Neurospora crassa OR74A: one gene and its partners. The protein of the gene in region 3 binds, or shares a complex with, the protein of the main gene of each other region. Links are inferred from orthologs where the notes say so. Each region holds a gene or a part of one and is shown on either strand. Other genes may lie near its edges.

Region 1 (8,023 bases), on a different chromosome or scaffold from region 3:
AGCACCAGGCGAGTCGTGGTTTGGAGGCAAGTCGTCAACGCGAGTCGCTGCTCGGGCGTGGCAAGACTTCCTCGCAAAGTGATCAACTGCGAGGCTTGGGAGAGAGTCAAGCGACTGAAGTGGAAAGGGCACGCCATGATAACTTTACCGAAGGTGAATACTACGATACTCCTCATGCGGAAGAAAGCCATCAACGTGAAGAATCTCCGATTGAACATCGAGGAGACGAGCACGAGCACGAGCAAGACTACCAGATGAATTGTATGGAAGAAGAAGAGGGTCATTACCAAGCTCAGCAAGGGGAACAAGCAATGGAGCAACATGAAGAGGAGGAAGAGGAGGAGGAGGAGGATCTTTTCCTCCTCGAAGCCATGCGTTCATCTCCCGCAGTCAAAGCCAAATCCACCCTAAAAGAGAATGATCCTGCCAGCTTCCTTCCCTCAACTCATCAGCCCCAGCCTAGCTCCCGCTGGCATTCCAACAAGAGTCAAATGGTTCGGGATCAGTTGAACACAGCCGCAGACAAGAGTGATGAGCTGGAAGAGTTCAGCCTCCTTCATTCAAGTCGGGCCAAGAAGTTCCGGCCTGCGTTGAAGCCCGTGCCGAACAAGAAAGCGAATCTCTCAAGCTTCTTCTCGTCGCCTGCACCTATTCCGGAAATCAGTTTACAGGGTCCAGAGGGTAATGCTTCTCTTCGGCCTGGGCCCGAAGTGCTCGATAGGCAAAGTCAAGCCAACGGCAAGGTGTCATCTGGTTCGGGAGCCCTTTCGGAGCGGTCACAGCATCTTCCTACAGGTCAGGAAGCTGAGAGGAAGCTAGGAACGACTCCCATAGGCCGCGTTCCATCATCTCAGCGCCTTTCTGTGCCAGTTTCCCAAAAGCCGTTTCAGCCTTCACCTCTGGGTACAGCGCCCGTGTTATCAGGGCAATCCTCCCGACCCCTGCAACCGGCACAACGTGTACTTCGACACTCTTCCTCCATCATCGGTTCCTCCTCACCACCACAGTCTGGAAGCATCTACACCCCGGTCCCGCAGAAACAGAACTTCACTCCAGTGCGACGCGAACCAGGCGCTAAGCTCCCCTTGTTCGAACGGGACGGCGGAACAAAGACCGGCACTGTCACGGCTCTACCACTCAAAGACAACCACAGCTCAGGCCCAGGCACCACTCCGAATTCGATAACTGACAAACCTAAGCAGTTGCTGTTTGGTCTTAAGGAGTCCATTTCCAAGCTGTTCTCGGACCCGCCCGCTAAGAGCGTTGAGTATGGACCGGAGAACGAGAATGAAGAAGAGCAAGGGCCTGAAGAAGACATGGACGACTACGACGAGATAGTGGAACTCGAGGAAGAACAATCATCTGCCGAGGAAAGCTTCGAGCCACCTCCACTTCGGTCTCTCCCCGACAAGAACTCTTCCCCTATCAAGTCTGCCTTGCGACCGCCAACTAAGGGCCATACACCCGGCCGTGCGGTGCAGTTTGCCAACAGTGTCCGACAGTCGCCTACTCCTCGGCGTAACGCAGACGTTGAACAGAGGCGTCCTGTATTCGGTGGCCGTTCCACCCCTGTGATTATCACCAGCTCGCCCAGTACCCACACGGAGAGCAGTCCTGTTCATAGTCCTGCAGGCTCGGAGAGGATTGAGGAGAATGCGACTGGGATGTATGAGGAGGATTATCAGGACGAGGAACAGCACGAACTTGATGACACCGTGGATATGGATATGGATGTGGATATGGATGATGATATCGAATGGTACGAGCACAGCCCCGCGCCAGCACCAGCGGTCCAAGCACCGAGACCGGCGCCGCCGTTTCCTCGTCCACTGAGCCCTGGACGTGGACGGCAACGGCAGCAGCAACAGCAACAGGAACTACAACAACAAGTTGCTGCTGCACCACGTCAACCACCAGCAGCACAGCCGCCGCTCATCAAACCCACATCCACCCTCGAAAACTCCCCCGTCATCCGCTCTGGCGTCTCTCTGTTTGGCTACGGTCGCCGCAAATCACTACCGCCTCCTATTCCGCCTTCCAACCGTAACATCGTCACGCCTCTGCAGCCGCTTTATCCATCTCTCCCACCAGTATCCTCTTTCGGCCAACAACAACAACAACAGCAGCAACAATCCTCTCAGCCGTCGACATCAACCTCTCAACACCATAACGGCCAAGCTTCCACCGGTGCTTCCATCGGCGCCTCCTCATCCACTTCCGCCTCCGCCGCTGCCACCACCACCACATCCCACTCCCATGACCACCACCAACAACAACAACACCAACTCCCCCCACCAACCCACCTCTGGAGCACCTCCCACTGGGACATCCTCTCCTCCATAATCCACGCCCACCGCGCCCTCCACCACTCCCAATCCCAATCCCAATCCAAAGGCAAAGGCAAACAACGGGCCGCCGCCCCCACTCATCATCTCTACTACCCCCACTCCCCCACCCTCTCTTCTTTCCTGCACCAAACGTACCGCCCCTCCCCTCAACAAACCACCTACGACCCCGTCACGCGTCTTCCCATTGACGAGTCGGTGGTGATTGAGCAATGGCATTTGGACGTCGTCTACAAGTTTCGGGAGATGTTTAGACGGGCGTGGGGAACAGATGAACTTTACGGTGGTGTGTTTGCGATGGATGAACAGGAAAAAGGGGGGTGGAGTGAGGGGGAGTTGGTCAGACGGGTGTATGCGTTTTTGGTGGGCGAGAGGAGGAGGAGGGAGGGACGGGTTGATAGGGGGAGGAGAAGGGGGAGGGGGGTTGTTTGTTAGTTTATGCGTCGTGATGTGTATTGAGCATGGGAAAGGACATGAAAGAATGGGCATAGATGGATGGTTGGATGGTTGGGAAGGGGAGAAGGGAAGAACAGTGAAAGAAGGAACTGGATACCCAAAGTATAACTGGATGGACGGATGCATGAGTAGGAGATACCATGTTGTTAAATGGTTCTTTGTACAAACATTGGTTGTTTCTAGTTTCTGAAATTTGGACATACGATATCACATATCTGCAACAGTTTGAAAGACCAGACCACCGTCATTGCTCAAAACTTAGACTTATGATCATGCGGTTTATCGTGTTTGTTTCAGTACGCCCGACTAATACCATATCTAAGCGTAATGTTACAGACGAACCCCATGTTGTAAACCCCTAAACCATCCATCCATCCATCCATTTAAACCCTGCTTCTGCCTTGAACCTCGCTTTTTTTTTACTCAAGCTGCGAGGCCTGGTTGGTATAAAGCACATCAACCACATTGCTAAGCTTCTCAATGGTCTTCAGCGCCGCATCGTACGCCTCATCCCGGTGCGTCTCATCGTAAATAATGAGGCAGCCGGCGCCCTGGTCCAGCACTCCAATGATCACCTTATCCAGGATCATCTGCGACAGCTTTCTTTCCACCTGCTGGGTGTCCAAGCCGACCATCTTGGCGATATGGTCAATCTCCACGCGGCTGAAGGGCTCAATGACCTTGATCAGGTTTTGCTCCAGCATGGCATCGTACAAGCGTCGCAGGTGGTTGCGGATGAAGGTGTCACTACCCAGCTCATAGCGGTAAGCCGCCAGGGCGCGCTCGTACTCCTCGAGAGATCGGTTGCTGTGGGCGCGGGCAATGGCCTTCATGGCCTCGAGCGACTTGCCGGCGTACTTGACGGCCTGCTTGGAGGTCATGAGCTGGTTGACGTCATCGGCGAGGTTGAGCATGATCTTGCAGAGCAGCATGTACTGCAGCGCGGCCTGGGCTCGCTGCGGCTCCTCCTGCGTGTGGTAGCCGTCCAGCGCCTCGATAAAGTAGCTGAAGGCCGTGTTGAAGTCCTTGTCCTCGGCGTGCAGCATGCCCGACTGCATGTCCAGGTTGGCCTGGAGCAGAGGAGGGGTGTAAACGGAGGCGGCGCTCGTGCGCGCGCTGGTGAGGGCGGCGCGGGCCTTGGCAATGTTGCCGAGGGCGTGGTATACCCGCGACTCGAGCAGCTGGACTTCGACGAGGACGAGCTTGTCGTCCATGCGCTTCAGCTCACGGAGGAGACCGTTGATGAGCGTCAGGGCATCGTAGTAGGACTGCTTGGCCATGTACAAGGCGACAAGACGGGTTTCGAGGTTCTGGCGGAGGAAAGAGCGGCGCTCTGATGTGGCCCATTCTATACACGACTTGGTGACGGAAATCTGGATGTCGAGAGAGTCGGGGATGGCTTCGAAGAGGTCGAGGAGCTGGCGGACTGCATGTATCAACCAGTGTTAGTATCCTCATGAGCTTGTATAGCGCGTCAACAAAGCTGATGGCGGGGTCGTACCAAGCTTTGCCGTCTTTGCCTTTGCGAACGAGGAGAGAACTGTGCGGCTCTGGGTTACGAGGTCTACAAGGCCTTGTGAGTTCCTGTACACGGTGATGGGAGGTTAGTGACCGTACCCCTCCTCGATGACCACGACATACACCAGCCACTCTTACTTCTCGTCGCGATAGAGCTCTCCCAAGTGAATCAAAGCCGTCTCGTATTCCCGGATGGCCGCGTCAGAGGTGACTGATGGCGGCTTGGAGATGATATCCTTGTAAATCTGCTCGGCCTGGCGGGGGTCGGTCGAGACCACCTTCTGCGCCTCGCGCACTCTCTCTGATGCTTCGCCCTGGGCCATGGTGTCGTGTGCTGGTTGTCCCGGTCGCCAAGTGGTAAGCGGTAGTAGTATAAATCGAGAGTTTGGCTATCGGATTGGATGTGATGGTGATTACTCGAGGTCGCGGGGGGATATGCGGCGTGTCGGTGGTCGCAGAGTGTCGGCTTGGAAGTTGTGGTTGTTGTGGTGTTGAAGTTGGAGCTCAGGTTGTTCTGTCGTGACGAACCTCACCACCCGTCCTCTGCTGGAGCACAGCTGTTACCCAAGTCAAGTGCAGGCGGCATGTCCACTAACGAGACCTCTGTACACTACGTACCACCGCTAGGTAGCCAGGCGCGACGTAATTAGCTGGAGACATCCACCTACAGATCCCTGTCAATTCACGGCAGGCAAGCCCAGCTCTCGGTAGCTCAGGCCCTGTCCATCCTTTTGGCAGCGAAGCTCTAACATTCCAAGCCTAAGCGTTTAGCAAACTGCCAAGAAGGCGGTCAAGATTCTTGCCGCCAGACCCCGCCAAAATTTCTCCAGAGGAAGGGGAACGGGAGCTGTCAAACTGCCCGTGTCCGACTGTGCTCCCCAATTGGCGACAGACGCTCCCGGCATCCATCCATCCATCCATTCATTAATTCCAACGTCGATAACTGTATCACAGCACCTGTGCTTTGCGACAAGGTGTACCGACAGACTTCAGCCATACCCGGCCTCATCATATACAATTATTCACACTCGATATCCGTCGGCCTTGGTAGCCTTCTCATCCACGACCCCTTCAACATCATCAACAGAGAAACACCGTCACCATGAAGGTACTTGGGCCTACCACACGCGACGCCCATCAAGATTCGCAAACCCACTTCTAGGCTCACCACTGACACTTCTACAACAGATCAAAGCCCTCAGCCGAAACATCTCGGCCCAGCAGGCCCCCGGTAACGACGTCACCCGCGCACCCCGTAACCTTGCGCCCGAACTCCATCCCTTCGAGCGCGCTCGCGAGTACAAGAGAGCCCTCAATGCCGTCAAGTTGGAGAGAGTCTTCGCCAAGCCCTTCCTCGGCCAGCTAGGAAATGGCCACGTTCAGGGTGTCTACAGCATGGCCAAGGACAAGAACTCGCTACACACAATCGCTTCCGGTTCGGGTGACGGTATCGTCAAGGTCTGGGATCTCACAACACGGGATGAAGCATGGAAGGCTGCCGCCCACAACAATATCGTCAAGGGAATGACCTTCACCAACGACAAGAAGCTTCTCACATGTGCCACCGACGGCATCAAGCTTTGGGACCCTTACACCAAGACCGACTCCCCAACGCCACTCGCGACATGGCAGGAAGGTGGTCCATACACGGCTCTCTCGTTCCACCGCAACACCAACTCCTTCGTTGCCTCTTCGGGCGCCGGCTGCATTCGTATTTGGGATCTCGAGCACAGCACGGCTCCTCAGACGATACAGTGGCCGAACCACAGCGACACCATCACCGATGTTTGCTTCAACCAGGTTGAGACCTCGATCGTGGGTTCCGTCGGCACAGATCGCTCCGTTATTCTGTTCGATTTGCGCACCAACATGCCCGTCATCAAGACTGTTCTCAAGTTCGCCGCCAACCGCATTGTCTTCAACCCCATGGAGGCGATGAACATGGCTGTTGCCTCAGAAGATCACAACGTCTACCTCTTCGACGCCAGGAACTTCACCAAGGCGCAGAATATCCAAAAGGGCCACGTTGCGGCGGTTATGGACGTCGAGTTCTCTCCTACCGGCGAGGAGCTCGTGACTGGTTCCTATGACCGCACAATCAGGGTGTGGCGCCGTGACCAGGGCATGTCTCGCGATGTGTACCACACCAAGCGTATGCAGAGGGTGTTCCGGACTACCTGGACTATGGATTCCAAGTACCTTCTCAGCGGTAGTGACGATGTACGTTGTCTCCTTTCTTTTCTCCAACTGTTCGATCAGCACAGCTAACGTGATATACAGGGTAACGTCCGTTTGTGGCGTGCCAATGCCTCGGAACGCAGCGGCGTCAAGGCGACCAAGCAGAGACAGGCGCTCGAGTACAACAAGACCTTGGTCGAGAGGTATTCTCACATGCCCGAGATCAAGCGCATCTCCCGTCACAGGCACCTGCCTAAGGTGGTCAAGAAGGCGGCCGAGATCAAGCGCGAGGAGCTTGCGGCCATCAAGAGAAGGGAGGAGAACGAGAGGAAACACTCCGTCAAGCAGTTCGAGAAGCGCAAGGCAGAGAGAGAGAAGGCTATCCTGGCCAAGCTGGAGTAATTGCGGTGTTCTTGGCTTTTGTGTGCCATGGTTTGTGCGGTCTCTCGCGCTTCACGCTATGCGTTTACTATTTTCTTTTGCATTGGGCGGCGTTTCTTAGTGGGAAAATTGTCAGGCTATTTGTTGATGAGACTTTCAGGCAGCGGAGTCTCGCTCGGTCTATACGGAGTTCGATACCACATATTCGATAGTATTTTGTTTCTGTGTTCGTCTCTATGTGCAAAGCAAAGCGACCATGTCTTCCCATCTCTTCCAAAACACCTACACCACTCCTTCAGGCGCCCTGTGGACTCCGGCCTCGCTGCTTGACTCTCTTTGCATGGTCACTTTTTTTTCCTCGATTCCTCCTTTCCGGTTGATCAAGGTTCACCTGATTTCCCACAAGTCAGACGGTCGATTTCGTGGACCTGACCAGTACCCAGAAACTGGCGTCAACATCGTGCAGCATTGGCATGAACCTCATGGCCTGGATAAGAAGAACGAACGACATGGAATCGGACGGTCACGGCGTGGGTTGGGATAGTTGGAGGGAAGGATACGGGTCGTTTGTGGCTCATCCGTGGCCATTGATGTGGGCTACCCTAGATCTAGCGCGGCCTGCGTTATTGGATCAAGTAGATGGCTCTCCTGTCTCGATCTGGCTCGAAGACCGGTTGGCAAACAGCAGTCGGAGTGTGGCTCAGCCATCAACACAACCAAACTAGTTGTAGTTGTGCCCTTAGAAAATGGGAGCCCACCTCCGGGCTTTGGGTATAAAGACATTTCTCGAAGAGACATTTCTCGACGTCGAGTGAGAAGCCATAACCGGAGCCTCAAACGCTTTGAGATTGCATCGACTTTATTCCAGAGAGTTATAGGATTTGATGGCAGTCTACCACCCAAGGCGTGTAGAGAAGCTGCCATAATAGATCTAACTTAACCGTCTACTTTTTTCTCGGCTTTGCTCCCGAAAACTTCTTCCCACACTGCGCGACCGACGTCCCAGTGCAACCCCATCAACTTTGCAAAGCTTCCACATTAAATCTCATTATACCCGTGAGCTACTCAAGGAGCCAAGTATGTATATGTGTGCTGGGTTTTACCATGTTGGCTGAGGCTCGGCGTAGCGAAAATAGGTACATAAA
Region 2 (8,021 bases), about 4.0 Mb from region 3:
GCCAACCCTCTCCCGAGAAGTACGAGTCTCTCCCCAACATCTTCATCGCCAACATCCCCAAACAAAAGGGCATTCCCGGCTACGACGGCTGCGTGACCGGCGGCGGAGCGGCAAACGTCGTCAATATTCCCAACCCGGGCAAGTACGGTCGCATCATCAACCAGCTCAAAAGGCCATTTAGCAAACCAGACCCTGCTCCGACTGGGTTGAATTTGTGTCCCAAAATTGATAATGACACGCTGCCCGTGTTCGAGGACAATCCCAAGACGATCAGCAAAGGCGGTGCTGCTCCTACTGGAGGAGGAGAAGAAGTCAACGCTGGTACTACTTCTGCTTCTGTTACTGTCACTGGCACTGGCACGGGAAAGCCACCGGCTGTTACCACCACCACCATCACCACCACCTCCGCTTCAGCTGCTGCTACTGGTACCGAGACGACGGTCGCTCCTATTTCCAGTGCCAGTGCCAGTGCCAGCGCCAGCGGCGATGCCAAGGCCACTGACGTTGATGCTAGCGGCACGTTCATCACTGCCCCTAGCGATGGGCTAGCATCAACTGCTACGGCTAGCGCTACCGGTGGTGTCGAGTCCGGCCCCGGAGGAGGGAAATGTGATGATGATGCTAATGCTACCGAAACTGGAGCCGGGGCTGGAGAAAAGACCACAATAGAGGTAACAAAAACCATGACGGTCAAGGTAACGGTAACTGCCAATGTTTCATCAGGTGCTTCAGCTTCAGCTTCTGCTGGCTCTGGTTCTGGTGGAGATGAAGGTGGCTCGGGAGAAAAGAAGAAGCAGTGCGAGAAGGGTCAAGTAGCCGTCTGCTTCGGTGATGACTTCTTTGGCGTGTGCGATAACGGGTGGGCCGTTTCTCAAAAGGTGTCTCAGGGGACGAGATGCGAGAACGGTTCGTTGGTGTACTCGGCGGTGCGGAGAGAGGGTGGGCAGAGGGCAGAGAGTTATGCGGCGGGCGAGGGGCATGCTAGGAGGCATTTGAAGAGGAGGAGCGGGAGGCCGCTTTGAGTGTTTCCTGAAGGGAAGACAGGGCACGAAGGAAAAGGGGATCGGGATGTGTTGGCCATGTTACTATGAAGGAATGGATGGATATCTCGAGGCATGTCGGGTCAGTCTTGCTTTTTGTACTGCGTTATTTTGTTTCTTCTTAGTTCTTCTTCGCGTAGGTAGAGGTCCTGCATTGCTCAATGTTGGAAATTTTATTAGCATTTAAGGGTCTTTACTTGATATGTGTGGATAATGGAGCGAAGTGCAACGAGCGATCTCACTGGTAAATCCAAAGTTTTCTTTGGTACGTACGTTTTTAAGCATGACGGACGGCAAAAACGGGTTCTGATAGCAGGTATCTTGAATTTCATTCAACAATCTATTTTTACTAGTCACTTGGATGTATGGTATATCCTCAAATATGTCGAAAATGCAAAGAAAAAAGAAAAAGCCGCCCTGAACCTAAGAAATTGAGTAACCCGACAAACCGAACCCAAGACCGAACATTCTACCGTTACCTACCTATCATCTAGATCCAGTCAGGATACTCCCTCTGCCTCACAAAGCTTTCATTCCAACCACTCTTCCAAGGGGGCGGAACACATACACGCTTGATACTCCGTCTCCTCGAAGACCGAGTCCCGCTCTTGTTTGACGAACAAGCGGAATAAGCAGAAAAAGAAAGAGCAGGAATAGAAGCAATCGAAGAAGCCACAGTCGAACAAGAAAAACCAGCTGGGGTCCATATCCCACTTGACTCAGCCGCACTATCGATATCAACCCCAGAACCCAGATAAGAACCTGTCTCGACGGATTGTTGCTCCAAAGATAACCACTGCCAACTCTCAATTTCATAGTCAATCAGCGCAATGGTATCCTCCGAACTGGCTGATGCACACGAAAAAGCGGGACTTGCCATTCTTACCGGTAACAGGGCCGGCGGCACCGGGGCTTGAAGACCTTCTTCCCAAGCAGCTAGAGTGACGGTGTCTAGTGGCAGGCCTGGCCTCTGGTGAAGGTAATTATCTCTAGCTCCATCTCGATCGAAAGCTTCAAAAATCGATGACAGTGCGACCGGAGGAGGCAACGAGGCAGCCGGTGCTGAGGCGGGCCAAATAGGGATACTCTTTTGGTTGACTTCAACTTGCGCTGTATTGTTAGCTTGGGGTTCTCCTGGTTCGACACCAAGGCGAATGGGTCTTGGGCGAGGGGAGGGAGGAGGGGCAGGAGGGGGGTTTTGAGGAAGACGAATTGGACGGGGACGTGGGGAATTAGGAGGAGGATTGGGAGGATTGGGAGGTAGGTACCGATGGTTCCTCTTTTCCTGTGTAGTTCTGGGGGTGGTGGTCCCCTGGTGCTGGCCTTTTCGAGTTAGCATCGTTTTATGTTGATGGCTTCCTTTCCGGCTGCCATTGCGGCCGCTGGCTTTGTTACCGTGTCTTTGAGCATGTTGGTTCTTGTTGGGTTGCGGACCGCGCAACAAATCGCTGAGGATCGTCTTCAGGTAAGCTGTAAAACCCATCTTGACTTGTCGTTGGCAGTGGTCCAATGTTGTTGTATGACTGTAGGTGTTTTGTGGATGACAAACAGAACGCATTTGGAAGTGTGAGAGGTTCTTCGACATTTATATTCGGATGAGAAGCCTCCAAGAGACGAGCCTGTGTCACGAACACCACAAGTAAACAATGCAATTATGGGCATGGCAACGCTGTGCAGAGCATCTGTCAAAGGACAATGGTGTGTAACCAAGAACACCTTTCCGCGCACAAAGACGTGGTGCACTCATTCCTGTGGCATCAACTCAGGTACAGAATCGGAAACAAAGAGAAATTGATGTCACTTACACCACTAGCCACGAACCCGTAAACCAGTCACTGCAGGTCTGTACCTGAACAGACAACCCCATTCACTGAAAAGGAAAACCGAATCTTGAACATGGCTACCGGTCTAGCTGCCCATCCTTATACCTAACGCCTAGTCATACAAAATCACAAGTCGGAGGTATGCGCCTGCAAAGAAAAAACGTCATGCATGCTTGTCCTTTTGGTTAGGTAGGTACCTATAGCTGCTCCTCCTCGACCTCCATCTGGTCGCCATGTGTGGTGCCATTGGCCCCAGCGGGGGTATCCTTCTTCGCAATGGTCGCCTCCTTGTCGATCATCTGCCTTGTAACGGCAACAATGTTGTCTTCGATCAGTTGCTGTCCGACATCCTCCAAGTGCTTCTTGGGATCCACCTTGCCAACATAGCGTGTCTTGAGTTGGTCCTTGGTCAACTCTGTCTCCTCCTTGACTCTCTTCTCGTAGCCGTCAGCAAGGCTAACCAGGCGGTCGAGTCTCTCCTTCGTCCTCGATCCCTCGCAGCGGAAGTCCTCCATTTCGAGGGCCTCGGTCCAAACGTGCTTGTGCAGATTCATCAACATGTTCTCCTCCAAGGCGGTCTTGCGGTAGTTGATGCCGATCGAGTAGTAGTGCCTGTTCAGGCCGTGGATGAGGGCCTGGATGGAAGGCTTGTTGAGATGTCCCAAGTTGGATGTCGTCTGGCGGGGCTCCTGACCCAGCATGAGCGACTGGGGGTTGATGAGACGGAAAGCATCAATCACAACCTTGCCCTTGACGGACTGAATGGGGTCAATAACCACGGCGACCGCACGGGAGTTGAGTTGTTCGAAACTTTGTTGGGTGTTGATATCAACCGACGAAAGCCAGCAGCCAAAACCGGGATGCGAGTGGTACCAGCCAACGACGGCCTCGGGCCTGCGAAGGGAAATACATTAGTGGGTGGTGAAAGGTCAAGTTGAGCTGAGTATCCTCTCACCTTCCCGTTTGCCTGAGCATGTCCATCATGTTCATCTGGAAGACGGGGTCGACAGCCTCTACACTGACACCAGTACCGCTTTGGGGCATGGCAAACACATCGACGACGCGAACGGTAAAGTCATCGACAAACTCGCCCAGCATCAGGCCCATGACTTCCATGGGCACACCAGCGCGACCGTGGCGCAACATCTTGAGGAGGGCTAGGGAGGAAATGTAGACGGTTTCCGAGTTGTCGATGAGGTTGGTGTTGTCCTGACCAGAACCCAGCACATTAGCATCATGCCCTTGTCACCTTCACGCCAGACCAAGCAAGCCTGCGGTTCTGTTGTTCAATTTGCGAATGGGAACAAACATACGGCTCCTGGCGCAGTGGCACCGCCCATTCCCAGGCCGCCGCCCAACAAGCTGCGCATGCGATCCATCTTGAATGTGTTTGTTGGTTGGAGAGTAGTGTATTATGTTGACGTAGCTGTGTGACGGGGGTGTTGGAAATTAATATCGGCGTCGTTCCTCGGGTGTAATGACGTCGCGCAGAAGTATATGGAGGGTTGCGATGCAAACGGTGGCGGTTTCGTTGTAAAGTCGAAGTGGGATGTCGTCGATGACAAGACGGGAGACGGGGCGGTTTGTTGTTTAGGTTGGTGGGTTGAGTACCTCTCTACCTACCTACCGCGTCAGGTTGGAGCATGGAGCATGCAGCACCTATGGGGAGCTTGCCGCAGCTGGCTGGCGGCGGCGTTGACGACAAGCTGTGGCAGCCTGCAACGCCAACTGCCACAAAGTCCACTGCAGGCCAGCCCGGTGACGGAAGGTTCCCTTGAGCTGGAAGCTGTGGATTACATAATCTTATCTGGTTTGCAAATCGGCAGGCAAAGCGGTTGACTTCATAAGTATTGGCGCTTTTTTGGAAGGTTCGACGTTGCCTGCCGACAGGACGTCAGGTGCACAATCCGTTTTCTGATTGGTTACTAAAGTTATTGGAGAATGGAGAACAGCTCAATTATACCCCACTCGCCCGTTGGGGTTGCTGGTGCTTGCGCTTTCTCCCCCGCCTGTCCGCCCACGGCTTCACGCACCGACCTCAGCGTTGTGCCGTGGCTCGTACAAGCAATTCTGCCACTCAGTGACAGACACCCCGGCGTCAGGAACCGAGCTCGAACTAAACACCATCTTTCTTTTCGTTGCTGGCAAGCCATGACGATACCGCCCAGGTGATTTGCCACATCACGGGGATATTTCTATATCATACTTTGTCATTCTATCAATACCACGAAACCTCAACACGTGTTTCCCCCATTCAGCCCGGCGACCCTGAACATTTCCTTTCACGACGGGGTCCTTCCCATCCCAGCGTCTCCCGGTCAGCGATAACTTCTACATACTTGGACGTGATATCCACCACCACAACACACACACACACACCATCCAACCCACAATCCGGATTGTACCGCAATAGTCCTCCGTATCCGCCAACGCAACGCAACACAACACAACGGGCAACCCGGCAACATCTGCCCACCATGCCTTCCACATTCACCGATCCCGCCGGAGTCGCGCGTGACGAGCCGTTGTATACCGTCGTCCACAATGACAAGAAGCGGGTCGCCTACTTCTACGACTCCGACATTGGCAACTATGCCTACGTGACCGGCCATCCTATGAAGCCCCATCGTATCCGTCTTGCCCACAGTCTGGTCATGAACTACAACGTGTACAAGTTTCTCGAGGTCTACGTAAGTTTGCTGTGTTGGGGGTACTGGCCTTGGTCAACGACAAACTGACCCTCTCTGTGTTAGCGTGCAAAACCAGCCGTTACTGCCGAAATGACACAGTTTCACACCGACGAGTACATTGAGTTTTTACAAAAGGTTACCCCCGACAACATGGACGGCTTCATGCGCGAGCAGGGCAAGTACAATGTTGGCGATGACTGTCCCGTTTTCGACGGCCTGTTTGAGTTCTGCGGCATCAGTGCCGGCGGAAGTATGGAGGGTGCCGCTCGCTTGAATAGGGACAAGTGCGACATCGCCATCAACTGGGCCGGTGGTTTGCATCACGCCAAGAAGAGCGAGGCTAGCGGTTTCTGCTATGTCAATGGTATGTGGCCTTCACAATTTCCTGGAACCCGTACGACGCCACCCATGCTTACCTACTACACCGAACAGATATCGTCCTGGCTATCCTAGAGCTCCTGCGTTTCAAGAAGCGCGTTCTTTACATTGACATCGATGTGCACCACGGCGATGGTGTCGAAGAAGCCTTTTACACGACGGATCGCGTCATGACCGTATCCTTCCACAAGTACGGCGAGTACTTCCCCGGTACCGGCGAGTTGCGCGACATTGGTATCGGTTCCGGCAAGAACTATGCCGTCAACTTCCCCCTCCGCGATGGGATTGACGACACCACCTACAGCTCCATCTTCCAGCCCGTCATTAGCGCTGTCATGCAATACTTCCAACCTGAGGCTGTTGTCCTCCAATGCGGTGGTGACAGTTTGTCCGGTGATCGTCTTGGCTGCTTTAACTTGAGCATGCGTGGCCATGCCAACTGCGTTAATTACGTGCGGAGCTTTGGACTACCCACTCTGGTTCTCGGCGGAGGTGGCTACACCATGCGCAACGTCGCAAGGACTTGGGCCTACGAAACCGGCCGTTTGGTTGGTGTTGAGATGAACCCAGTCCTTCCTTACAACGAGTACTACGACGTAAGTGGATTAGTTCCATTATGGCTTGCCGCCTTGCTAACAAACTCTTAGTATTACGGTCCCGACTACGAGCTTGATGTGCGTTCTTCCAATATGGAGAACGCCAACAGCCCAGAGTACCTGGAGAAGATCAAGATATCAGTGATAGAAAACCTGAAGAAGACCGCCCCAGTTCCCTCTGTCCAGATGCAGGACGTTCCGCGTCAGGGCTTCGGTATGTCAGACGATCAGGAAGACGAGCTTGACGACATGGATGAGGACGAGAACAAGGATGTCCGGCGGACACAGCGTCAATGGGAGAAGGAGAGAGCTAGGCAAGACGAGTTTGAAGAAAGTGATGACGAGGACATGGCTCAAGCCAATGGTGTGTTCAAGCCGAACGGACCGCAGCGCCGGTCCATTCTCGACTTCAAGAACCCCAAGGCCGTGGAGGACATGGATCTTGATATTGGAGAACCAGCTCCGCCCTCGATTGCCGCCACCGCCGCCGCGGCCGCCGCTAAGCCAGCGGAGCCTACTGCTGTCGACAACGATGAGACCATGATCGATAACGACGAAGCCCAACCGGCCGCCGCTGAACCTGAAGCCGAAGCCCCCGCAACGACAGCCGCGCAGCCTGCAGTAAGCTCTGCGGCCAAAGTTGACGAAGATGGCGATGTGGATATGGGCGAGGCCGATGAGAAGCCTGCAGAACCTGAGGCGGAGATCAAGACCGAGGAAATCGAGACTGCCCCTGCTCCGGAGCCGGAGGCAGAGCGCAGGCCAAGTCCCGCCGCCGCCACTGCGGAGCCTGCTACCGAGGCAGCAGCAGCAGCAGCAGCCTCTCCCAAGGCCGCCTCGCCGGTACCAGACGCCAACACTGAGAAGCCAGTGGCAGAAGAGCCAAGCAAGGTTGCCGAGGAGGCATCCGACAAGGCACCGGCAGCAACAACAGATGACAAGGAAAAGGAGGCCGATAAGCCTCAAGAATAGGACGCAACCCCCCGAACAAACACTCAGTACGTCTGATAGCTCGGACTAATCGGGCCCTGAGTACGTCGGCAAATTTCAGTTGTGTTATCCCATGAGCATGATTGGCATTGGCGTTTGGGGATTTAGGGGTGTTGTGACGAGGAAAATGTTGTTTTCAATGATTCCCCCACATTACATCCAGGCTCTTTGTTGTTTGTGTTTTTTCTTTCTTTTTTTTTCTTTTTTTTTTTTTCCTTTTCTTTTCTTTTTCCATGTTTCGGAAAAGTTTCTACAAGTTAAGCGTCTAATAAAGGTGACTTTAGCTAAACATGGCTTGCTGATATGTGATTGTGGTTTGGAAGCCAGGGATGTTCACTAAGTGGTGAACGCTTGATTAAACTTGTGCCACTTCCCTCACCCTCGTCTCCTGAAGAGCTTGATTGATCCTGGATCGCCAAAGATGCCCCGGCCTCCACTTCAGACATCGCGTTGTATCATGCGGGGTTGCCCTGCGGATCAGGACAAAGTCCAATCGGGCGTGCA
Region 3 (4,253 bases):
TATTATAGTAACTACTAAACCTATTAATAATTAGGATACAGTAGATTAGCTTATATAATTTCCTTAACCCTACTCTATATACTAAATTTAGGATTTTCTAACTAAAAGCGTTATAACTATATTAATTACACTTAAACTACTTAGTAAAAGAGAACCCTTCTTCTCCCAATTTATAACCGTCCTCCTCCTTTAACTATATAAAAGTCAATAATAAGTAAAAAGAATAATAGTTAAAGTACTTTAATTAATCGAAGGTAAATTTTACATTTGAGAAGCTAATCGGCAATTTAATAAATCTAACCCCCTTATTTAAATTATTAATAAGGAAATCTTCTATTAGGTCGGTCTTAAATATTAAGTACGTTAATACTACGTACCCCATTACACTTACTCCTACTATAAGCGTAGTAGATTCGCAATTAATAATATCGTTAATCTCTAGCTTTTACTTTACTAGCTCCTTTAATACAATTACCCTTACTCGCCCACCCGCTACGCAACCGAATTTTACCCCTATCTCATTATAGTTCTAAATATCGCCTCTTTCAACTTCGTACTTCTTAATAATAACCTCGTACTCGTTAAACTACTCGTTAATAGACTCCTTATTTAATTCCTAAAACCTTCTTTTAATATTAACTATACAGTAAATAGTAGTTTTGAACTCTAGATAGTCTTTGAGGAAGCTAGCTAATTATATTGTATTGTAGGTCTCCGGTGTACCCTATAATAAGCGTAATCGATTTGCCGCTATAATAACTATTTAGTATAACGCTAGGAACCGTCCTTGAAAGTAGAATATTACGTACAATATAATAGTACTTTCCTCAGCTTTTATTAGTATATAGGGTTTTCCTATTGGGTGCGACGAGACGGCAGGCTTTTGGAATTCGCGTAGCGATTTAATATAATAAAAGATCAATATACGGGATTTACTAGTAATAGCAGTAATATCCTTAACAATTAATAGCTTCGTTACCCTATTTCTAAGGGTTTTAAAGCGCCAATAAGCTTTAAGATATATACGGGCGCCACAGTAGCTAGCGGACGCTTCGTCCAACTCCTTAAAGTACTAATCGAAATTTACGGGTATTATACGGTAAATTAACAATTTTACTATTAATCTATAGATATATATAGACTGCTTATTTTTCATAGATTTACGCAATAAAATTGTACGAATTAGGGTACGGTTTTGTTGCAACGCTATTACCGATTTTACGATGCAAATAAGCGATTTTACAGGGCGTTAATAAGCAAATCTATATGGTACCCATCGGCCTTGTCCCATAATAAAACGCTGTCCCACAATTACTTTACCCCCTCTTTAATGAAGAGGGGGGGAGAAAAGGACCCACACCAGGCCGCCCTCCAACCCCCAAGTACGTACCGCTGCAGTGAGTGTGCTTGGGTTGCTAGCAGTGACAGGTCCCACTCCAGCAGCAGGGCAGCTACCGTGACGACCTAACCACAGCACCTCACTACGCCAATCGCTGGACTGACGACACTCAAGGTACCTCCAAGAGCACCTCAGTCTCCAAACAACCTACAACCTAACAAACGAACTGCCCCTCAATCATCACAACATCAACAACACGAACCCATCGCGAACGCAGTGTAGTCGCCGCCCAGCCCACGATACCTGAAATAGTCTGACAGCGCCTATCCACACATCCTCAATACTGCACATCATGGCGGAGCCTGCGTTCAAGCCGGAGAAGGACTTCTCCAAGGAAGTCGACAAGCTGCTGCCCGAGGCCGAGCAGTTGGCCAAGGTAATCGCAAAACTCCCATGGTTGCCACCGTCTGCAGACCGTATACTAATAATGAAACACCCTTGTAGACAGACATTCAAGCGGCTATCGAGAAGCTTTCTGTCCTCGAAAAGCAGACGCGCCAGGTAAGCACGCTGGACCACCTACCTTGTCCCCCGCTCCTTCACGCTGACCACTCGCCGACGACAGGCTTCCGACCTCGCATCGACATCCCGCATCCTGGTCGCTATCGTTACCATCTGCAAGAATGCAGGCGACTGGAGCTTGCTCAACGACCAGACCCTTGTTCTCTCCAAGAAACATGGCCAGCTCAAACAAGCCATCACCAAGATGGTACAGACCGTCATCGACTTCCTCCCAGAAACCCCGAACCTGGAGACCAAGCTCTCCGTCATCGAGACGTTGCGCACCGTTACCGAGGGCAAGATCTTTCTCGAGGTTGAGCGCGCACGCGTCACCAAGATTCTCTCCGACATCAAGAAAGAGCAGGGCGATCTCAAGGCTGCGACCGATATCCTGTGCGAGCTTCAGGTTGAGACATTTGGCTCCATGGACAGGAGGGAAAAGACGGAATTCATTCTGGCTCAGGTGGCGCTTTGCATAGAGAGCAAGGACTGGACACAGGCGGGCATTCTCAGCAGAAAGATTAGCACCAAGTACCTTGCGCGCAGGCCCAAGAAAACGCAAGAGCAGCTCGACAAGGAACAGAAGGACAGGGAGGCCAAGAAGGCCAGGGGTGAGGAGGTTTCCGAGGAGAAGGAAGATGATGTCACCGACCTCAAGTTGCGATACTACGAACAACAGATCATTTTGGCCAAGCACGACTCAAGATACCTCGACGTCTGCAAGTACTACCGTCAAGTGCTGGATACCGAGGCAGTAGAGGAGGACCCCGCCAAGTTGCAGGCCGTAAGCTTCTCAGACACACCACATGGCGATCTTCTTAGACTAACATGGGTTGACAGGTCCTGCAAAGAATCATCTACTTCATCATCCTTGCCCCTCACGACAACGAGCAACACGATCTCCTTCACAGAATCCACAAGGACCCACGAATCGCACAGGTCCCTCAGGATGCCGAGTTGTTGAAGCTGTTTACCGTCCACGAGCTCATGCGCTGGCCCGAGGTTTCCAAAATCTTTGGCCCACACCTCTGCAGCACCGAGATCTTCGACTCGGAGCCCAACCAGTCAGCCGACGACAAGGCTTTCCAGCGCTGGCAAGACCTGCGCAAGCGCGTCATCGAGCATAATGTGCGTGTGGTGGCCAAGTATTACACGCGCATTCGTGTGGATCGCCTTACCCAGCTGTTGGATTTGACCGAGGACGAGACGGAGAAGTATATCAGCGAGCTCGTGACGTCCAAAACGGTCTATGCCAAGATCGACCGCCCGGCGCGCATCGTGAGCTTTGCTAAGCCGCGGGATGCGGACGATATCCTCAACGAGTGGAGCTTCAACATGAAGAGCTTGCTAGGCCACCTGGAAAGAATTGACCATCTGATTACCAAGGAGGAAATGATGGCAAGAATCCAACCCGGAGCAAAGTCGTCAAAGAAGAGCAGTAAGGAGAAAGCGGCGGCGCGCTAGAGAAGCTCAAGCTTCCTTACTGCACTGACCCCAGTTGTGGTCAGAAACAGACGGTAACCATCGCGGCCATAGGGCGAGGCGAGAAGCCGTCGAGTCAAATTACTCCCTAGTCGCCATCTTCCCGGCAGAGACTTCGTGGGCCAAAGCAAGGCTGGATGCATTACAGCAAGAACTAGCAGCTTTGTATGAATAGACATGACTACTATGGAGCACAAGGGACGTAATTATTTATGACTTATATCCCGGTTGAAGGGAGCGCAGTTTACTGCCAGGTAGAAAACGAGATGTCCAGCATACGGAAGGCTCCAGTTGCCTGTACGCAAGTGATGCCGTAGGTTGTTGCAGGTTGTTCGAAAATCAAGCCCGCATAAATAGTGATAATACGAAAGGGCTTCATCTCTCCAGCTTCACCAGTGGACAGTGATGAACCGCCCAATACTTTAGCGGACGCCTTGAGGCTTTGCGTGATATGTATCGTTGTGAGACTGGAGGTATCAAGAGTGCCAGCCGCGTGCCCGGACCCCCGGTCGTCTTGAACCCCCGCTGCCCCCGGCAACATCGGCATGCATATTGGCCAAGACATCAACCAATAACCAAGGCAGTAGCCGGCGCTACCATGTCATGCCATGATCCGAGCATGACATGCCAGGACGGGAACAATCGATGGGAACCCGTCAGATGCACATCATGGCCATCGTCGATTGAGCATAGGTAGAGACTGTTATGATGTGGGGAAACTCCTCGTAGTCGTTCCTCCCGAGTTGATGTCTCCGTAAAGTGCAGTCTTCCACGTTCAGAAATTGAAATACAGTACACTACACCATCACTATACCCACTCACTCATGCCGATACTCCCAAGTGTCGCCCAGAAAGCACACAAACAGCCTAC
Region 4 (7,781 bases), on a different chromosome or scaffold from region 3:
AGTCCTCTTATTCCAGGTACTTGGACCGAACCGCCGGGAACTGTGCTCTTTCCCGAGCGGAACGCGATTTGCCGGCCTCGCCACGACCCTTACAAGCCATCTCAACTGGTGAAAAGCCAGGCTCAATAAAGCCAATTCTGCAGCTAGATTCACCCATTGTTTCGATTCTTACGAGCCGAAAGTCCAGGAACATCATCCCCAGCGTCTGAAGCAACACTCGTCCTCGTTGCTAACCCGGTCACGGACCGCTCCAACCACTGCGGATTCGAACACAGCTCCTCCCCTTCAGAACTACTAGCACACACGGGCTTCACATTTGGGGCTTTCGACGAGCGAACAATCACATCACCATGTCGGCCAACGCTGCGTCCTCCAAGGACCACAAGGTCAAGGAGCCCCAGCCCGGCCAGCCAATGTATGGATGTGGTAAGATGGCCCATTCTTGTCCCTGCTACACGGCCTTATTTTCTAACCTCTTCTAGAGCATGTCGGCCGTCTCTTTAACCAAGATCAAGCGACGATCAACATGTCCATACAACATTACAAGACCATTCTGCGAGCCATCTTCGACATCAACCCTATCCTGTCACACACGGCCAAGGGCGTAGATGGCCAGGTTGTAACATCCATTACCCCAACCTACCTCTGTCTGCAATGCCCCTCGACTCTCACCGACGATGACCTTACAAAACACGGCAACAAAAAATCACATCGCTTCTGTACGTTCGCTGCCTCTGCCAGAAGGAGCCAAATCATGGGGCAAGGAAACTGACAGTTGTAATCAGATGTTGAGTCGAGGAGCGGAGCGGTGTATTGCCAAATGTGTGATGATATTGTGTGGGACCCTACCTTTGAGGATTTGAGGTTAAAGAAGCTCGGCACAGGGTCGTTTTTCGGTAGTATGTTTTTCTGTCCTTTTCTCCGTCTTACCCATGGGGGCTTATGCCCGGTACCTTCTCCTATGTCGATGAGCCTTGGCTGTTACTAATCTGTATTTCTATCACAGGCCGAAAGCGTAAACATGAGGAACTCTTCGCCCCTGATCCCGTAAAAGACGCTCCCCAGTATATATCGACCAACACCACCCTCGCCACCTGCAAGGCTAACGGTCTCCGTGGTATCTATAATGCCGGAGCAACTTGCTATCAAAACGTTGTCCTCCAATCATTCCTCCACAATCCCATACTACGCAACTTCTACCTGAGTGATGGGCATCAGTCAGGCAGTTGCGACACACCCCATTGCCTCAGTTGTGCCATGGACGATATGTTCCAGGAATTTTATGCCAGCGAAACGACGAACGGTTATACCGCCGCAAATATCTTGTCCGGATTCTGGATCAGCGAGAACAAGGCGTTTGAGAACTTGGTAGCCAACAAGGAGCAAGATGCTCATGAGTTTTTCCAGTTCATGGCTGAGGAATTACACGAGAGAAATGGCGACGGCAAGAGACCGGAAATTGGCAGTGAGCATACCTGCAACTGCATCATCCACCAAACATACTACGGAAAGTTACAGACGTCCACAACGTGCCAAAACTGTGGGGGCGTCACCAATCAAGCCCAGAGCTTTTTGGATCTCAGTGTTCCCTTGGAAAATTTGACGCAAAAAAGGGGCAAGAAGAACTTGACGAATGGCGACGGGGTCGCATCGACAAGAACGCAAAACAGCGTGACTCTCCAGGAATGCTTGGACGAAGAATACATCAAATCCGATAAGTGCGAGTATCGGTGTCAGAACTGCAATTCAGTACAGCAAGCAAGAAGACAGACCAGTATCAAGAAATTACCCAACGTTCTTTCTATCCAGCTCAAGGTCAGATTACCGGAATCCTTCCTCATGCACATTCCTTACTGGCCGTTACCGCTGGCTTCGCTTGGAGACAACAGAAGCTGACAGTTGCCAACAGAGGTTCGAGTTCAAACAAGGGCGTAATGATCGTGCCCAGAAGATCGAGACACCTGTCCAGTTTCCTTTACAACTCAACATGCTGCCTTATACGACACGCGCACGAACACAGGATCTCAAAGATAACTACGAGCTACAGCGGTCCTGCACTTACGATCTTCTATGCGTTGTTGTGCACGTTGGCGACATGGATACCGGACACTACATTTCTTATTGCCGGGTTGGCGACCAGGTGAGTCTGACTAGTGAACCATGACACACATCTAGTTCCTGAAGGGTTAGACTTGCTGACCCGCTGCCTTTGGCACATTTATTTAAGTGGTTCGCATTTAACGATCACAAAGTTGAACTGGCCCAGAAGTCTGATGTGCTAAACGCAAAGGCCTATCTTCTCTTTTACATTGTTCGGTCCCTGTCTTGAGCTCGGATAAACGGTGTACGAGTAGGGGCAAGTAAGCAGCAAATATTTTTTTCCTGTGTATGATGTTGTTTCCAGTAAACACGTGCCAGATGGCTCATTTACGTTTTGTACACTACTTGATCTTTTTGCGGCGTTCAAGGAAGCATATTTTGCCGGCGTATTTTGGATTTGCCTTTGTTCATGGAGCGTACATGGAGAGGATTCACATAGACATAACTCAGGCCAAAGCATGGGCCTGGATTTTTAGAGAATGGAGGACGTACGCCGTGGGCGTTGTCATGCGTTATGGGTATTCATATGTATCATGCAAAGTCGGTCTGCCTCATGCAGCGGAATAACATCATGCCTTTAGCTGGCCTTGTTCCCTGATCTAAGCATTAGGTTTACTCCTGTATCTCCAGGTTTGATGCCATCCGTTTGAACGCCCGAATTGTTCCCATCTCCTCACACCGTCCGTAGATTCGTCCACCCTTTAAGCCCAAACATCCTGGCCCACACCCTCGATCCAGTTACCCAGCTTGTCAACACTGGAATCCCACTCTTGCAGCCGTTGCCTCATGTTCTTGATCTGCTGCATGTCCAACACCTTGGGCTGCACCCAGTTGATGTGGGCCACCTCGTCAACCTGGTCGATCGTGCCCCGCAGTAGATCCAAGCTCAGCGCCTTCATGATCAGGTGCTCGATCTCGTCGGGGTGTACCTTGGTCTCGTTCGCAATGGTGGAGAAAGACATGGCGCGGTCATGGGGCGGGCGGCGAAACACGGCCTCGGTCAGCGCCGCCAGATAGATCTTCTCGCGCAGCTGGCGCGTGTGCTGCGCCAGCAGCGGGTCCGAGCTGATGTGGCTGGCCAGTAGGTCGTATGCGGCAAGGTCGCCGCGGTTGAAGGCAAAGAGGAGCTGGTGCAGCCACTTGTGCCGGTCGTCGATGGTGAGGGCGTCGAGGATGGGGTGCAGCAGAAGCTCGCCAAAGTTGTAGATGCTCGAGCTGACGAGGGCCGCGATGGCCAGGTTGTAGGCGCGCTGGCGCTGCTCCTCGAGTGAAAGTGACTTGACGTCGATGCAGGCGAGGTACAGCAGCGCGTTCTTGTAGTAGGAGCCCCAGTCGGACTTGGCTTGGAAGTATTTGGCGTTGGTGTCGTAGAAGGCGGCGTGCACGACCGACTCCACCGAGTCGAAGTTGTCGAGGATTCGCTCGGCCGTGTCCAGGTCCTTGCGCGCGCCGTCAAGGTCGGAGAGGTCGAGCTTCACGCGGGCAACGGCGATCGTGGCGAATACATAGGCGTCTTGAGAGTCTTCGTGGTCGACCTTCTTGACGACGGCTTCCAAAAAGGAGAGGCGCTCTTGGTTGTCTACGGTTTGCGCACCCAGGCGTGGTTAGTGCTAGCTGCCAGATGCATGTTTGGAAGCAGAGGAAATGAAGACCGTCTGCGCACCTCTACATTGTGTGGCGGCCTTGAGAGCAAGATCAACGAGCTTGAGCTGGTTGATCTTGTCGGCGAACTTGAGAATGAAGACCTTGTAGAACTGTAGCCTCTGCGGGGCACTGCCGGGGTGGTTGAAGAACTCAAGCAGCAGGTTGGTGAGCTGATGCCACAGCTTGCGCTCCCATAGTGTCTCGAACTCAAGGACGAGGGGTTGGAGTTCTTCGGGCGCCTGGTCGCGCTGCTCGGCGAGGAAGTCGGAGATGGTGTCGACGTTCATGGCTGTGGTGTTGTGTCTAGGTGTGGGTGTGGGTGTGGGTGTGGGTGTGGGTGTGGGTGTGTGTGTCTGAGTCTTCTATCGATCCTTGCTGTCCAGTCCTTGGGGAGGTAGGCAGATTCTCGAGGATCCGGTCTCTTTGGTGGAAACGTCGGTGAGTCTGCTGCGGATGGAAACCAGCGTACTTATCGTGGGATGTTGCTCGTTGTAGAAAATCCCGGCGGAACAATGCAGTGGTACGTCTACAATGGAGGACGGGATGAAAGTGGAAGTGTTGTTTTGAGGTTGTCTTGGTTGACGTCTTGCAGTGAAGCCTTGACGCGGCATTAGGCGTGCAGCCAGCTACGGTCGGTCATTGTGGATGCTCTCCCAGCACTGTGGAGGCCCCCACAGTCACTGCCAAGTGGAAGCTGGGTGAAGCTAAGGTACGTACTGGAGGCGGGAGCCCAAAAGGTACATGTCTATCTGGCAGAGGTACGTACTGCCGTTGAGTGTAAGTGAGGAAGCTTGGCACACGTGATTCCCGTCAGCAGTTTGGTCGCTGGGTACATTGAAGGGGGGGGGGGGGTGCTGACGGCAGGCGGGCAGCAGGCGGGCAGCGAGAGCCGGCTTCGACGTCCCGGATTCGATATTGAAGACGGCAGCTTGAAGCTCCGGATAGCCTCTGATTCCATCACCAATTGAACGGGATCCGGCCAGCCCTGCCACCCCCCAACTCACAAGATGGCTCCCTTGACGGCCGCGATGCGGTCGACTCCCAGAATTATCGTTTCCAATGCCTTTGGCTTTCAGCGACGAGCTATCTCCGACGTGACCATCACCCGCACCGGCAAGCCCATCATCCGTAACCAGGGTGGCCGGTAATTGTTGCTATATCTCTGCTTGGGTAGAATGGGCGATTGCTAACACGTCGTCTACCTCCACAGCTCCTCCCTCGGTGGACATACGGCGACAGTCTTCGGTGCGACCGGCCAACTCGGCCGCTACATCGTCAACAGACTAGGTACGATCTGGCGACTTTGTGGCGTAGGCCTCTATAGAGATCACCATGGCTTATATCAAGAACATTTGCAGCGAGACAAGGATGCACTGTCGTCATTCCCTTCCGCGACGAGTACAACAAGCGCCATCTGAAAGTTACGGGTGATTTGGGCAAGGTGGTCATGATTGTGAGCTTTTCCCCACAACAAGAGTCATGTCCACACAGTCGAGGCCCACGTACGCGCAAGGATCCAGCTACTAAGCATAACCACCACTCCAGGAGTTCGACTTGCGCAACACCCAATCCATCGAGGAGAGCGTCCGACACTCCGATGTCGTCTACAACCTGATCGGTCGCGACTACCCGACCAAGTGAGTCTGGATTTACTGGGAAAGGTTGTGGTGGAGATGCACGAGTATTGACCTGGGTCCCAGGAACTTCTCGTTCGAGGACGTCCATATCGAGGGTGCTGAGCGCATCGCCGAAGCTGTCGCCAAATACGATGTCGACCGCTTCATCCACGTCTCGTCTTACAATGCAGACCCCAACTCGGAGTGCGAGTTCTTCGCCACCAAGGTACGATTACAAGACAGCCTCTTCCAGCGAGTCGCATCGTTATGGGTTTCTGATTGGATCTGTAGGCGCGCGGTGAGCAAGTAGTCAGGAGCATTTTCCCCGAAACCACCATTGTCCGGCCAGCTCCCATGTTTGGCTTCGAGGACAGGTTGCTTCACAAGCTTGCCAGCGTCAAGAATATCCTGACATCCAATGGGATGCAAGAGAAGTACAACCCTGTCCACGTACGTCTTCCCCCACGATATAACCCTTTGCGCGCGGACGGTAGCATCTGACAGCCGTTTTAGGTGATTGATGTTGGCCAGGCTCTTGAACAGATGCTCTGGGACGACAACACTGCTTCGGAGACTTTTGAGCTCTACGGTCCCAAGACCTACACTACCGCTGAGATCTCCGAGATGGTTGACCGCGAAATCTACAAGAGGCGGCGCCACGTGAATGTGCCCAAGAAGATCCTCAAGCCGATCGCCGGTGTGCTGAACAAGGCCCTCTGGTGGCCCATCATGTCTGCCGATGAGATTGAGCGTGAGTTCCACGACCAGGTCATCGATCCGGAGGCCAAGACCTTCAAGGACCTCGGCATCGAGCCTGCAGATATCGCCAACTTCACCTACCATTACTTGGTAAGTTGCCCACATCACATTCGAGTGCAAAAGTATGATGACTGATTCCCATGCAGCAAAGTTATCGCAGCAATGCCTACTACGACCTTCCGCCAGCGACCGAAAAGGAGAGGAGGGAGGACAGGGAGTACATTCACATGCTGTGAGTATCTTTGGGGTTGCACAGGGATGCATGTAGATTGTAGAAATCCACCGTAGAGCATTTGGTGAGTCGACGGAACACAGAACGTCCAGACTGGATGCTGTGGTGAGAATTAGAGCAATCAAGAGATTTGCGCAAGCGTTTGAACGATCTGGGGTGAAATTGAAGCCTTCAACTCGACGGGGTTGTGTTTACTGGTATGATGCGACCAAAAAGGGGAACGGATAAGGGAAATGGCATCAATGCATCCACAAATTTTTTCCGAACGATGCTGCACACTCCCGTTAAACTTTGACTGTTAGTGCCAAGAGCACACCATTCCCCAACACTCACAACCTTACAGTCACTCGCTGCCCACTTAGACAACCGATTATAATCGATTCGCTCCTACTTGTACCCGAACCATATCGAATCGAGCCATACTGTGATTAGACTTGGGGTCCAAAATGGCGTGCATCATCGACAAATTCTCTGATGATGAGAGTGACCTGTGAGTAATGCCTCACTACCAGAAACTTATTTTAATAATCGTAATCCACAGTATACTGACTATCTGAAGCGAACTCTCTACCTCAACCCTCGATGCCCTCAAATCTTTCTACGCCGAGCGCGATGCCCGTGCTGAGCAGTTTGCTAAGCTCCAGGCCGAGGCTGAGGAGAGGCATGCTTTGAACGTCAAGCTGTCTATGGATGCTTTCACCGAGGATTGGAATGAAAGCCAGTTCTGGGTGAGTGATACCATTTTCATTTAATTTTTTTTCACACATGGCTTATAAAGAGACGTTCAACCGACGAAGACGAACCAACTGACATGAGAATCACTCAACAGTACTCCGATGAAACAGCTACCTTTCTCGCCAAACAACTCCTCGCCGGCGCCACTCCAACCACCTCCATCGCCGTCGTCTCCGCCCCCTCCGTCTTCGTTCAGCTCAAGAACCTTTTGAACAGCGACGCCTACAAAGACAAGCCCAAGCCCAAACTCACCTTACTCGAGCACGACAACCGCTTCGCCGTCTTTGCTGACGAATTCGTCTTTTACGATTTCGCCCAGCCGCTCAAGCTTCCAAGCCACCTCAAGGGCGCCTTTGACCGCGTCATTGTGGATCCTCCCTTTTTGAGCGAGGATTGCCAGACCAAGGCTGCGTTGACGGTAAGGTGGATGCTCAAATCGGAGGAGAAGGGCGAAAAGCCCAGAATCATTGCTTGCACGGGCGAGCGCATGGAGACGCTGGTCACGGAGAAGCTGTATAAGAGCTACGGCCTGAGGACTACTACGTTTGAGCCTAAGCACGCGAGGGGGTTGAGCAATGAGTTTTATTGCTATGCTAATTTTGAGGTGAAGCCGGAGGAGGGGGCGGGGGCTGAGACGCCAGAGGGGAAGGGTTGGACGTTGAGGGAGTTGGGGTGGAAGGAAAAGGAGGGTGCTG

Evidence for each region.
Region 1: the proteins of rpn-5 (region 3) and rpn-6 are in contact, whole or in part, in a cryo-EM structure (PDB 3JCK), measured with the Saccharomyces cerevisiae proteins. The link is inferred for Neurospora crassa OR74A from reciprocal best matches to the Saccharomyces cerevisiae genes RPN5 and RPN6. Residues at the interface, in NP_010134.1 of Saccharomyces cerevisiae: Glu377, Ser381, Val384, Asn385, Tyr390, Ala391, Lys392, Val393, Asn394, Arg395, Pro396, Pro405; in NP_010186.1 of Saccharomyces cerevisiae: Lys349, Glu352, Pro353, Phe354, Glu355, Cys356, Val357, Glu358, His361, Trp396, Glu401.
Region 2: the proteins of rpn-5 (region 3) and rpn-11 are in contact, whole or in part, in a cryo-EM structure (PDB 3JCK), measured with the Saccharomyces cerevisiae proteins. The link is inferred for Neurospora crassa OR74A from reciprocal best matches to the Saccharomyces cerevisiae genes RPN5 and RPN11. Residues at the interface, in NP_010134.1 of Saccharomyces cerevisiae: Gln242, Tyr273, Gly274, Asn275, Leu276, Asn278, Asp279, Leu280, His282, Lys283, Asn385, Gly387, Ser409, Leu412, Asn413, Trp415, Ser416, His417, Asp420, Glu421, Leu422, Leu423, Glu424, Glu427; in NP_116659.1 of Saccharomyces cerevisiae: Pro46, Met47, Glu48, Gln73, Ser74, Gly75, Thr76, Gly77, His111, Phe114, Trp117, Ser119, Asp122, Lys148, Gly149, Gln186, Ile189, Trp221, Gln222, Leu225, Lys226, Met227, Asp229, Tyr230, Glu231, Ala298, Asn301, Ser302, Ile305.
Region 4: the proteins of rpn-5 (region 3) and rpn-9 are in contact, whole or in part, in a cryo-EM structure (PDB 5MPE), measured with the Saccharomyces cerevisiae proteins. The link is inferred for Neurospora crassa OR74A from reciprocal best matches to the Saccharomyces cerevisiae genes RPN5 and RPN9. Residues at the interface, in NP_010134.1 of Saccharomyces cerevisiae: Asn306, Glu307, Leu308, Arg310, Ile353, Tyr356, Tyr357, Ser358, Arg359, Ile360, Thr361, Arg364, Ile399; in NP_010715.3 of Saccharomyces cerevisiae: Asp322, Glu325, His326, Met329, Arg330, Ile332, Ser333, Gly339, Ser340, Ile341, Asp342, Gln343, Val344.

What each region holds. Positions count from the first base shown.
Region 1 is NC_026502.1:2,994,103-3,002,125, forward strand, and holds rpn-6 (26S proteasome non-ATPase regulatory subunit 11), read right to left. Parts: upstream 4,904-8,023; 5' UTR 4,643-4,903; coding exon 4,458-4,642; intron 4,386-4,457; coding exon 4,303-4,385; intron 4,228-4,302; coding exon 3,221-4,227; 3' UTR 2,933-3,220; downstream 1-2,932. Other genes in the region: NCU01597 (hypothetical protein), read left to right, coding at 1-2,780; NCU01595 (SOF1), read left to right, coding at 5,422-5,427, 5,508-6,539, 6,600-6,899. UniProt on the Saccharomyces cerevisiae protein: Component of the lid subcomplex of the 26S proteasome, a multiprotein complex involved in the ATP-dependent degradation of ubiquitinated proteins. In the complex, RPN6 is required for proteasome assembly.
Region 2 is NC_026501.1:7,046,192-7,054,212, reverse strand, and holds rpn-11 (26S proteasome regulatory subunit RPN11), read right to left. Parts: upstream 4,574-8,021; 5' UTR 4,243-4,573; coding exon 4,177-4,242; intron 4,073-4,176; coding exon 3,819-4,072; intron 3,758-3,818; coding exon 3,061-3,757; 3' UTR 2,674-3,060; downstream 1-2,673. Other genes in the region: NCU00822 (hypothetical protein), read left to right, coding at 1-1,022; hda-3 (histone deacetylase RPD3), read left to right, coding at 5,341-5,553, 5,617-5,917, 5,986-6,527, 6,579-7,499. UniProt on the Saccharomyces cerevisiae protein: Component of the lid subcomplex of the 26S proteasome, a multiprotein complex involved in the ATP-dependent degradation of ubiquitinated proteins.
Region 3 is NC_026501.1:3,064,067-3,068,319, forward strand, and holds rpn-5 (26S proteasome non-ATPase regulatory subunit 12), read left to right. Parts: upstream 1-1,453; 5' UTR 1,454-1,691; coding exon 1,692-1,775; intron 1,776-1,843; coding exon 1,844-1,900; intron 1,901-1,964; coding exon 1,965-2,684; intron 2,685-2,740; coding exon 2,741-3,364; 3' UTR 3,365-3,810; downstream 3,811-4,253. UniProt on the Saccharomyces cerevisiae protein: Acts as a regulatory subunit of the 26S proteasome which is involved in the ATP-dependent degradation of ubiquitinated proteins.
Region 4 is NC_026507.1:2,713,912-2,721,692, forward strand, and holds rpn-9 (proteasome regulatory particle subunit), read right to left. Parts: upstream 4,407-7,781; 5' UTR 4,032-4,406; coding exon 3,764-4,031; intron 3,680-3,763; coding exon 2,802-3,679; 3' UTR 2,553-2,801; downstream 1-2,552. Other genes in the region: NCU02375 (ubiquitin carboxyl-terminal hydrolase 2), read left to right, coding at 351-426, 483-719, 786-899, 1,007-1,815, 1,910-2,140, 2,228-2,329; nuo40 (NADH-ubiquinone oxidoreductase 40 kDa subunit), read left to right, coding at 4,752-4,888, 4,955-5,031, 5,103-5,197, 5,290-5,381, 5,445-5,586, 5,652-5,810, 5,874-6,209, 6,266-6,355; NCU02372 (N(6)-adenine-specific DNA methyltransferase 2), read left to right, coding at 6,798-6,841, 6,911-7,079, 7,181-7,781. UniProt on the Saccharomyces cerevisiae protein: Acts as a regulatory subunit of the 26S proteasome which is involved in the ATP-dependent degradation of ubiquitinated proteins.